3 linked regions of the Xenopus tropicalis genome follow. The protein of the gene in region 2 interacts with the protein of the main gene of each other region in a biochemical or structural test. Links are inferred from orthologs where the notes say so. Each region holds a gene or a part of one and is shown on either strand. Other genes may lie near its edges. The genes, in order: itgb1, flna and asb2.

The links.
Region 1: the proteins of flna (region 2) and itgb1 form a complex in vitro, tested with the Homo sapiens proteins (3 studies listed by BioGRID and IntAct). The link is inferred for Xenopus tropicalis from reciprocal best matches to the Homo sapiens genes FLNA and ITGB1.
Region 3: the proteins of flna (region 2) and asb2 form a complex in vitro, tested with the Homo sapiens proteins (3 studies listed by BioGRID, with this or other methods). The link is inferred for Xenopus tropicalis from reciprocal best matches to the Homo sapiens genes FLNA and ASB2.

Annotation. Positions count from the first base shown.
Region 1 is NC_030682.2:22,881,917-22,885,572, reverse strand, and holds part of itgb1 (integrin beta-1 precursor), read right to left. Parts: intron 2,936-3,656; coding exon 2,850-2,935; intron 1,534-2,849; coding exon 1,317-1,533; intron 1,239-1,316; coding exon 1,068-1,238; intron 634-1,067; coding exon 395-633; intron 1-394.
Region 2 is NC_030684.2:31,809,661-31,813,316, reverse strand, and holds part of flna (filamin-A), read right to left. Parts: intron 2,634-3,656; coding exon 2,544-2,633; intron 1,053-2,543; coding exon 950-1,052; intron 411-949; coding exon 270-410; intron 67-269; coding exon 1-66. UniProt on the Homo sapiens protein: Promotes orthogonal branching of actin filaments and links actin filaments to membrane glycoproteins. Anchors various transmembrane proteins to the actin cytoskeleton and serves as a scaffold for a wide range of cytoplasmic signaling proteins.
Region 3 is NC_030684.2:88,133,325-88,137,080, forward strand, and holds the start of asb2 (ankyrin repeat and SOCS box protein 2), read right to left. Parts: upstream 2,569-3,756; 5' UTR 2,339-2,568; intron 1-2,338. UniProt on the Homo sapiens protein: Substrate-recognition component of a SCF-like ECS (Elongin-Cullin-SOCS-box protein) E3 ubiquitin-protein ligase complex which mediates the ubiquitination and subsequent proteasomal degradation of target proteins.

The sequences.
Region 1 (3,656 bases), on a different chromosome or scaffold from region 2:
GTTATAAGTTGGACAACATTGCTCTACATAATACTAAAAGTAAAATTAAAGGTGAACAACCGATTTAAGCCACTAAAACATGACACTGCTCAAAGGTGCAGAATTTCAAGCCAGAGTAAAATAAATGTGTGAGCTATCTATATGGGGCGGCGAAACAAACGCTGTTTGACTTTTTACATGTACTTCCAATACTGCCCAAAAGTTCTTGAGAATTTCTAAGGCCAAAAACCACAATACATTCTAAGGTAGACCTTAGGCCCAACCAGTTAGGCCCAACCTTTGGACCAGACCCCCTTGGCTCATAACAATGTGCCAATGCCCTTAATGATTTTTCTTGTGGTACAGAACAGACAGTCTCGTAACCAAGATCAAAATAATGGCTAAAAATACTTACACCACAGACCGCAACCTGCATAATTGCATCAAAGCCTCCCTCGGGAGAATCCAAGTTACCGGAGATCTGCTGCTTGCCTACCAGGTCGTTAAACAACTTTCCGTCGCTAGTGAGGTTGAGGACATTTTTATAGCTGAATGGGCTGGTGCAATTCTGATCACTTGTGCATGGGTTAATAAGCTTGGCAGGAGTGGTGCTTATGTAGGGCATGACTGTTTTTTCCACAAAAGAGCCAAAACCTAGAGAGAAAACAAGTAAAATAGGAATGTGTTTGGTAGAATTGCTTATGCCAGTATCCAAAGGGCAGGAAACCTTTATAATTTTACATGGCTGGTCTAAAACTGATGACTATACTAATGGTATACACTGGCATGCCATTTTAAAAGTATTTCTCAAAGGATGCAGAGAAAGTTACAGGTACTTGTAAGCACCCATCAATTTAGGAAGGAGGGATAAAATGGCCAGCTTTCTAAGGAGCGACATACACTGTAATTGGCAGTACTATGTAACAATTACTGTTTTCTACATAATTGTAATGTAACAGTAACTAATTTCACATAAGTGCCAGCAAATAGTGCAAGGTATTAAAGCATAGGAATAAGACTAGTGACATCAGGCTACCAAGTGCTGATATATAATACAGCTAGGCAACAGTAATTTGAGATAAATGTACCTATCCGGAAATCTGAAGTAATTTTCTCCATTTCTGTCATTAGTGCTGTTCCAAGGCTTTTAACGTTCTCCAAGTCATCTTTCATAGAAAATGAGAGGTCCATAAGATAGTACAGGTCAATTGGATAGTCTTCTGCTCTTCTGAATGTCAAATTAAATGTCTGGGGTTCACCTAGCATAAAACAACAGACACAATTAGATGGTGCTGGAGAGGAGAAAGCTGCCCCCTATCTAAGGTTTAGGAGCCTACCTGATCGCAGTTCGAATACCAGTTGTTGAGGTCGGATTTGGGTGATGTTTGCAGGGTCCATACGTTCTCCTTTCCCTTTGTTTGTTATTGGGATATCTTTTAGCTTTTGTTTACGTCCCCTGGGGTTTTGGATGTCTTCTTCAGGGCAGCCTTTGTTTTTCAAAGCAGCCAAATCGTCACAACGTGCTGACGTGGGCTCTCCTTCTTGTAAGAAGTTCTGAGATTAACCACGGGGAAAAGAAGGCATATAAATTACTCTGATAATGGATATATACTTGAAATTCAACAAATTAAAAGGTTTTAATTTTTGCACCTCAATTCAAAGTGGGATTCAGCTATAAATGTGCAGCAAAGATGCCATTCGTACAATTCATTTTAAATGGTACAAGGGTATTGGGCTGTTCTGCCATTTTCCATAGCCAGAAGCCTCTTCCAGGAGAAAGCAAATGTCATTACTGTGTAATGTTTAAGATACAGTAATCGCTGGACTTTACTAAGCACCTTTAGCTGGGCAGAGACGGCACTCCTTTGCTTTATTGCAACTTCAGCAGTCATTAATTTTTTTTTTGGCAATAACCAATACTAAGGCCAATGATACAGGAGGCAATATATCACTGTGGCTCTCTTGAAAGGAACTGCAGCTATTTAACACCCTTTCCTCTCCAGCATTGGCTTACATTAGGAGGGCATCATGTCTCAGACATACTCTGGAACAGGGGTCGGGAACCTTTTTGGCTGAGAGAGCCATAAACACCACATCTTTTAAAATATAATTCCGTGAGAGCCATACAATATGTTTGGCCGTGGATGCTGCGGGGCAAGGTAGGGTGGGCCCCAAGGATGCCGGATGCATATTCGATGCAGAGGAGGGCGTGGCCTGCACTTGGCGGATAGAAGACATGTTCTAAGGCTTAGAACACGTCTTCTATCCGCCGAGCGCAGGGGCAAGGTAGGGTGGGTGCCAAGGATGCCGGATGTGGAGGAGGGCGTGGCCTGCGTTCGGCGGATAGAAGACGTTTTCTAAGACTTAGAACACGTCTTCTATATGCCAAGCGCAGGCCACACCCCCAGTTTTTTTTTTTTATTAAAGATTTGGCAGCGAGCCAGATGCAGCCATCAAAAGAGCCACATCTGGCTCCCGAGCCATAGGTTCCCTACCCCTGCTCTAGAACTTAGGACCTATATCTTCTAGTTTGCTCAATATAGAAGTCATATGAGAGAACGGAATGTATACAGCAGTATTTCCCTGGCCACAGTCACTCAGTCGCACAGCTACCGGATATAATAAAGTAGGCTTAGATGACATCTGGGGCTTTATAGCCATTGACTATGAAATAATTTGCTCTGCTTATTGTAACACTAATTAAGTAGAGTTCTTTTATTCTGTTCTATGCATTAAGATGCTCTTATGTGTAATAAGGTATGGTTCAGTTGCTGTGACACATCTATACCTGCCCATTATTGGGCACTACCAAAATACACCTCTAAAATGTTTTACTAATGAGCTCTTGACAAAATCTGGCAAAAACTCACCACTTTAGTGCACCAGCCGCAGTTGGGCCCGGCTTGAATACATTCTCCACATGATTTGGCATTTGCTTTTAGACATTCTGTCCCACCTAGAAAAAATAAATTTATTAGTGATAAGTTGAAAAATCCCATTTCCACATGAAACAACCAGACAGGACAAAAATAAAATGCAAAGGCTCAATAAGTCATTCTCATCTTACAGGATGCCTTCAGCGAACAGACAATTCTTACACTGACCAGTTACCAGCTGAATATCCCAATGCCCTCCATCAAACTAGGTAAAATATACATGGCTGTACACACACACACACACACACACACACACACAATATTATATACATATATATATTATATTATATATGGTAAGGACCAGCTATAATCAACGTTTTGGTCCACATAAGGACCTTTATCAAGGATGGCTCTTGTAACTACTTTTGTTTGGAAATCCGTGCATCTTTGTTTTGGGAAAAATTGCTCTGAATAGGCAGAAACTGGACAAAATAGGGAGAGACTGATAGCAAATACAGATATTTTGTTATTGCAGCACTCCAGCCTCTTGTTTTGAAAGTCATATCAGTATTGCAGTGTTATATACATCTCTATCTGCCCCCTGATACTGTGAGAGGTGGCAAAGCTGAGTGGTCAGTGGCACGAGACCTGATATCACTGGGTACATGAGAAGCAGGTGATGATGGCAAGACCAAATAAAGCTAAAAAGGACATACCCAAAGTTTTTTAACTGTACAGAGAGCTATGATGCCTAGGCTATGTATGCCCCTAAACTAAGCACAATTAAAGTCAAATTCTACA
Region 2 (3,656 bases):
AGCCTGGGCCATAGGCAGTAACATGGCCACTGTTTACATAATCCACATAAAACTGTAGGGGGCTTCCTATAAAGCAAGAGTTCTGGTTAAGAGTGAAAAATAAATACAGCCGCCAGTCAAAATGCAAAGTACAAGAATACTTAATACAAATATCAGCATATCAATCAAGCCTCTTATAAAACCCTTTGCCAGTAAAATTGTCAAGCTACTTTTAAGGATTAAAGGTTTTCCTAACAGATTGGTGCCAAGGTGGAGCTGCAGAATATTACCTGGAATATGCATGCCATCATACTTTATATCCATCTCATGGAGTCCAGCTTCAGTGGGAGCATATCTCACCGTGACTGTTCCATCTTTGTTATCAGTGATGTCAGGCTTGGCCACCTTCCCTGATGGCATTCGCACTTCTCCTGCAGTCAAAATGAATGGCTTTGTTAGCGGAAAAAAAGGTGGTCGACCACCCAACAAAGTTCCCTTTCATGGACCTATTAATACAAACTACTTATAGCTTATGGAAAACCCATAAGGACAGAATTGTACTTCATATAGGGTCATATTCCGCAGTGCTTTACAGGGACAGATAAACTGAAAATTCTGTTAGTGTTCCATTTAGGGATTGCCTTGGATATTCTGGTTTCCACCCACCCTCCACTATCATACAAGGCTTCCTTATTATCATCATAAATGATAGACTATGATACGCAAACTCTGTTCTACTCCCAAAGCCCTATTAACCAACAACACCCTAGTTACCACCAGTTATTAAAACACAAAATTCTTGGCTAGACAATCACTAGTCATACTTAGAAATGTTATAGTCAAGTTATGCTAGTTTGCCACAAAACCATGGTAGAAAAAATTAGTATCAACACTTAATACTAGTACATTTGTCATGCAAAACTGCAGTCAGACAACAGCTTAATGTCTGTTTCCTCTACTCCATGCTTACCTGTAATCTCTCCTTTTTTAATGGTGAAGGGAATAACCAGATCAAAAGGTCTAAGTCCTGCCACATCCAGTCCATTTACACCCATAACTGGACGATCAGTAGCCTGAAATGAAACTTAAGTGAGTAAAGAGTCCTTCCTGACAAGGAAACACAAAACACTTCCGTCAACAGATGACAAAAAGATTCCCAACTCCAGTGCAAGTTCTTATCTGTACTTCAATAAAGACAATGCACAGAAAATAGCAATAACTATGTAATGTAAAAACCACAAGTTTCCTACTATGGGACATCATAATGATTGAGGAGCAGCAAAGTCAGTAGGGACAGATTCAGGGAATCTTCCAATTCCAACCCCAAAAACCTCTAAATGGTTTATAGAATCTAGTATATCATCTTCTATCAGTATGGTCTTTGGGGATTTCCAGAAATAAGCTCTGGCAATTCAACATTCTGATAGCCAATGATATATCTGGGGGGTGTTGTAAAGCTGCAGCTATAGGTTGGATATGCCAAACGTACATGTGACTCCCTCCCCCTCGGGTCCACTTTCTTGGTAATAAGCTGATAAGTAAAAATGGCTGTGGCGTGGATTAAATTAATTCAATATTAGCGCAAAACTTTATTTAATAAAGCTTTCTGTGAATTGTTTGATAGAATACAAAACAATTCATATTAAGAAACATGGTATATATGTTTTATTTGAACTTGAAACAGAGTTGGTTTTTACACACAAAAAAAAAAATGGATTTAGTCTTTGCAGGATGTTTATCCAAAAAAGCTGGCAAACCTGGAAAATGAATTCTGCAAGAGACCATTAGACAAAGTCATCAGACACCAGGTGAAGACTGACCAGAGGTGGAAAAGGTCACCTCATTTGTGCCACCCACACAAGGGCTGGTGACAGTAAGGAAATCTGATAAGAGATGGATTTTATGGGCAGGGAGACATTAGATGTTGGGTATGAGGAGGGGGAAAAAAAGAAGAATGGGAAGGTATGGGAACGGACAAAGACTGAGCCCAGCAACATCAACCCTCCTCCCCAAATTTGAAGGCCAGTGGAGACCGAGGTGAAAGTCCATCTCCAGGGCATTGCATGCAGGGAAGGAAAATAAAACTCCTTAGAATCCATGGTGGCGCTTTGTCACAGCAGAAAGCTACTGAAGTGAAGCATTCCCTACAGAATCAGAGGGTAGGTTAGGCTGAAAGACCAGAAATATAGATAAAGGTCTGACCAATGAGAGGCTTTTTTTTTTTTTTTAAAAGCTGGCACAAGACGGTTTGTACTTGTGAAGGAGCATGCAACAAAGTTCATCGCTAACATTCAAAGCAAGTCACTTCAAACAACCCAGCAGATAAAGCCATATGTTTTTTACTCCGCCCCCTTATAAATGGGTACCCAGAAAATACTCCAAGAGCTCAAACCAGACCCCTAGAGGCCAGCTGCAACAAACAAACAAGCTGATAGAGTAAAGCTTTGAGAAGATGCAGTGGTTGTGGCAAGTACTGGATTCCAGAGTTCCTTTCTCCAAACCCTCAATGCCCTGGGAAGGTTATTCACCTCCAAATGACACATTTACTGTTAAAGGCAGGGTACCCAGGGTTGTTGCATGCCCGGGTAAGCGTATGGTGGGGCTAACTGCTGTTGAACCATCTGCTGAGGCATCATTTGCTCGCCGTCCAGAGCCTGTGTTGGAGGTGTAAGCAAAGGTTAGATTACTTTCCAGCTAGTCAAGTAACAAGACACAGGTCAACGGATTGACTATATCGTAAAACGTTTCCCAGCTGTTGCTGAAATACAACTTCCAAATGCTAGCAGCAGAAGCAGATCACGATTCCCCCAGGAATATATGTGAAGATTCCAAACCTACAGAGATACAAGTCTTTATGCACAACTAATGGTTCTCTACGCCTATGGCCACCACCAAGAGAGGTTCAACTGGTCTTCTATGCAGTTCCTGCCTCCCAATTCCCATCTTACATTTCTATTTGACTTTGTGTGTTATGAGAAACCTAAGGAAGAGGTGATTCCTAGTCTTTTGTGTTAGGTGTCATTTCTTTAGGATTTATTGTATATGCCTTTATTCCAGTCTAGACTTTTCCCATCAATCTGTGTGTGCAGACCATACATAAACAGAACACTGATGTGACTGAACCACAAATGTGGCTGGCTGATGGAGAGTTTAGTGCATTACTAAACCGAATACAATGTCTCTGCTTATCTATAGATATAGAACAGTTTGGTCCCAGAGTATACTGACAGGAGGTTTGGCCAAACAGTCCGATACAGTTTCCTCATATTTTGTTTAGTGCTGGTTGAGTTCAAGGTATAGTATCTTACAATCTCTAGAAACAATCCATCTCCAGAGGAAAGATGCTGAATGGGTTTGGAATATTCTAGCAGCAAGCCTAGCTCTTAAAATTCAGGCACCACATGCATGTAGGATATTCAGATTACAAAAAACCCCAAAACTTCAAACATCTCCTCTCATGGTCGACAAAACTGGGAAATGCAAATTTTAGCATAGGAAATTTTGCCAAGGTCCTTGTGGACATGCTATTATGTACACAACATGTATCTTTACACTTTATGAGGGGAAAAGTTTAAAGCCAACATTCTGGAAACTTGAAGATATTATTCCCATTCAAGCAGACTAAATTAAAAGCATCTAACTCATTGGGCTACTTGGAGACCCTGGCGAGCCTTCTT
Region 3 (3,756 bases), about 56 Mb from region 2:
TTCAACGGTGGCTTGCATCAATAGATGCACCAGACTTGGGTCCAGTAAGTTGAATGCAAATGCCATTTTAAATGTACACCTTTACCCTGGAAATGCTATATGCATCTTGCACCTGATTTGCATCAGTATTCAAGCACACTGTGCTGGAATTGTGTGTAATTGTGGCAACAAAAATCAGGCACAATGCTGGAATTGTGGCACAAAACTTGATGAATTGTGTCCAAAATTGCACTTTTCACACTGTTGTAAATGACTCCTTTAGTATTATATTTACAAGGTTACTTAGCATTCGGGGTGTTCATCACTTAGGTTTCTTAATAAGAAATTTGCAATTGAAGTTTGACCTTGTCTAGATCATAGTCATTTCTCTTATTTATATTTTAATAGGTACAAACTTGGCTTGAGCACAACTCATTTAGAGCTGGAAAGTATAATATAACCTCAAGCTAAGCACTGATTGTAGAGTGGATACATACAAAAGAATTCCTTAAAATGCCTTATACAAAAAGATTTACTTTCACTTGATTTATAATGAATTATCAGTAAGTTAAATGATATTGATTACTCTGTGTACAGTCTTATGTATGTTAAATTATTAATACGAATGTGATCAGCAGTTTATTGTTATCTTGAAAGCTGTAATTAAATCCCATCTATAAACAGTGTATTCGTAAACACCTTTAAAATCAACCTGCAGCCAAATCAACCATTTTGTGCAACCTTTAGCTGGCCACATATAGACAGTAATGTTGTCCAATAACAGGACTTCATTACATCACAAGGGGTGACATACATAACATCATAGCTATCTTGAGTCTCTAAGCCACTTACATCTGATGTTTGAAAACTTGATAACATGTACTTATAATCTTAGGAGGCATTCTGTTAAATAGGACAGAGAAATGTAAATGTATTACTAAAGTTATATCATATTGCCTTGGCTGGAGGCTTGTGTAATTTTCCCAGCACTGATCCCAGTAAGCAAGCTCAGCAGTTCAGCACAGTGCATATCGTTTTACAGTGTGAACCTTGCAAAATACAACACTCTTTTAAACATGAGCAACTGCCAACTTCCATTTAACTTCATTCATCACTGTAATTCAAAGCAGGATCCTGTTGCAGAGATTTTGCTCCTTGGTTGTTATAAAAAAAGATACATGATAAATGTTGTTATAGTGTAATTAGTCAGCCTCAGAAGTTCCCTTTATGTAAGTTCCCTCTTACGTATAATGATACATGATCTGATAAATTGCTTGATGTTTACTTATAGGTTTTAACAGCTGACTGAACTGTGGTTAAGCAACAGTCAGACATAATAACATGTTTCACTTATGCAATATCACTTAATACGGGAAACTAAATTTGAAGCACCAATATTGGCATCTTCCAAAGATCAAACCTAGCAAGTAAACAAATCCAGAGCAGCACCATCTGTCAGTCTATATAAAACTGCCTGTGAAATAAATTTGGCCAGGAGAACACTGTATATTCATCATTACCAGGTCAAATGTAGTTCCGTGGCAAAGACCAGCCTGTCTGTCTAGATCAATGACACTGACTTGCTTGGCCTGACCATGCATCTTTATCCAATGTCAGTGCACCTTGTACTGCACCACACTACATGTCATATTGCTATTGATAAGCTACTTACTGCACAGTAGATCAATGTTGGAAAAGCTGTGCCTGACATCCTTTCATGTTCAAAGTTGCAGTTTATCAACTAAAAAGCTAAAAATAGGAAAAAAATCTCTTTCTGTTGGTTATTTTTTTTTTGTTATGGTAATTATTTTTAATCTTAGCAAGGTATTTCTAAATATGGTTCCTTTCTGTGACCCTTAATTGGAATGGCAAAGAAGTGAAAAAGCAGCGAAAATGCATGGCTGTATGTGTATACTTTTTAAAAGGATTTCATTTTTTTTTAAATATTTGCAAGAATAAAATAACTTGGCTGATTGCTGGAGACTGCTACATTCCTTGCAAGTTACTGCCCAGACATTAAGTTAAGACTCTGTGCTCAGTCTCGGTCTGGGATTGCCAGTGGTATAGGTAGCCAAGCTAAATTAAAAGCATGAATAGCATTTTAAATAAAATGACTATAGTGATTTGCAAATAAATTATAATTTAAGAAGAGAAGCATTCTTAATCCTTGAATACATAAAAAAGAAAATGGAAGCTCTCAGAGCAAAGTACAAAGTTTGCTCTAACTTGCTTTAATTATTTGCCTTCTCATATTTGTTTTCTCTGTAAAACACCAAATACTTCATTGAATAGTATTCAGTGCAGCATTATAAAAGAATGCATTGTTTGAGGATGCTGGTAGAATGCATGCTAGCGTTACCTTTATATTTCCAGGAGAATGAAATGAGCTTGTTAAAGTGCCTAGGGCTCACAGACAGCCCATAAGTTGCACCCTTGTCCTCCCCTGCAGCAGGTTGCCTCTGCCTCTGCGAAACTGCCCTGTAACACAGACTTTGTAGGCTACAGTTTATTTCTGGAGCACCGCATGATCAGACACGACAAGCCAAAACTCTGTCATGTAGCTCAGATTTCTTATGCAGAGATTAGAAGAGCCAGCTCTGCCATCCAGAATAATATTCCCTGTTGCATTGGCCTGCAGCAGATATTACTGGATCCCGTGGAGAAGTTGCACAGAGGGCTCACTCCTCCCTTGTCTCATTGTTTATACATCCTGACAATAGGCCTTATAAGGATACATTCTTAAGAAAAAAAGAAATGATTTTGGTATTCTTCCTTAGAGGTATCTGAGCCAAGTCATCACTTGTAACAAGTCCTTGATTTCCAACTGAACACTTAAAATTATTTGGCACAATCCCAGACTCATGCCATATAAATATATGTTTTAATTCCTTCTTCCAGAAGGAATGCAATAACAGTTGGAAAGATTTTATTGTTTAGACGTAAACGTAATTTTCTTTTAATTGTAACTTTTTTTTGGCTCAGTCAAACATTTGTTTTCTATATTCTGTGAAAAAAAAGTACAGAAAATGGCTGATTGTAAATTAAAGGCATATTTACAAGAGGCTGTTAATTGTGTACAGTGTGGAAGAACCACAGGTATATGTAGGCATTTGCATATGACTGTAATGAATTACAATTTCCAATGCTAAATACATGTCCTGTTCTTCAGCATGGAGAAAGCAGTTTCTTTTTGCACATGCAGACCTACCTCTCTGAGAGCTCTTCCACTGGAACATCCTCCTTTTGGTATGAGTGGAAAGATAATGCCTCCAGATGCAAGAATATGTCCTTTTCTTTCAAAACTTCACTGGAATGGTTTGGTAGTTTTCTTTGCCTTTTACAATATGCCCCATACATTATGGCTATGACTAAGTACCCCTCTTGGTACAAAATGTGTAAGGCTTTTTGGCATTGTGTACGGACATAATAAACTGAAAATGTTTTGACTCTAAATTGAGCTGCTTTGAAACATGTTTTGGTGATCCTGAGTGCCTGCCTGCATTTCCAGTGTATACTTTATTAATAACACAAGTTTAGATCTGCAGTATGTATTGCTTTTTGGTGTATATTTAGAATACACCTGAGAGCCATCTCTTAATAAAGCACACTCAATTGGGTACCTATTTAGCAGCACACATATAAATCAGCTGACATAGATAGGTGATGCAAAGTTTGATCATGTGGCTACTGTGTACCTTCAGATTTTCAGGTTGCCCACACCCTATAGGACCCTCCTTTGCAGTGCACCTTTAAGGTGTCCACACACATAACAAGTGA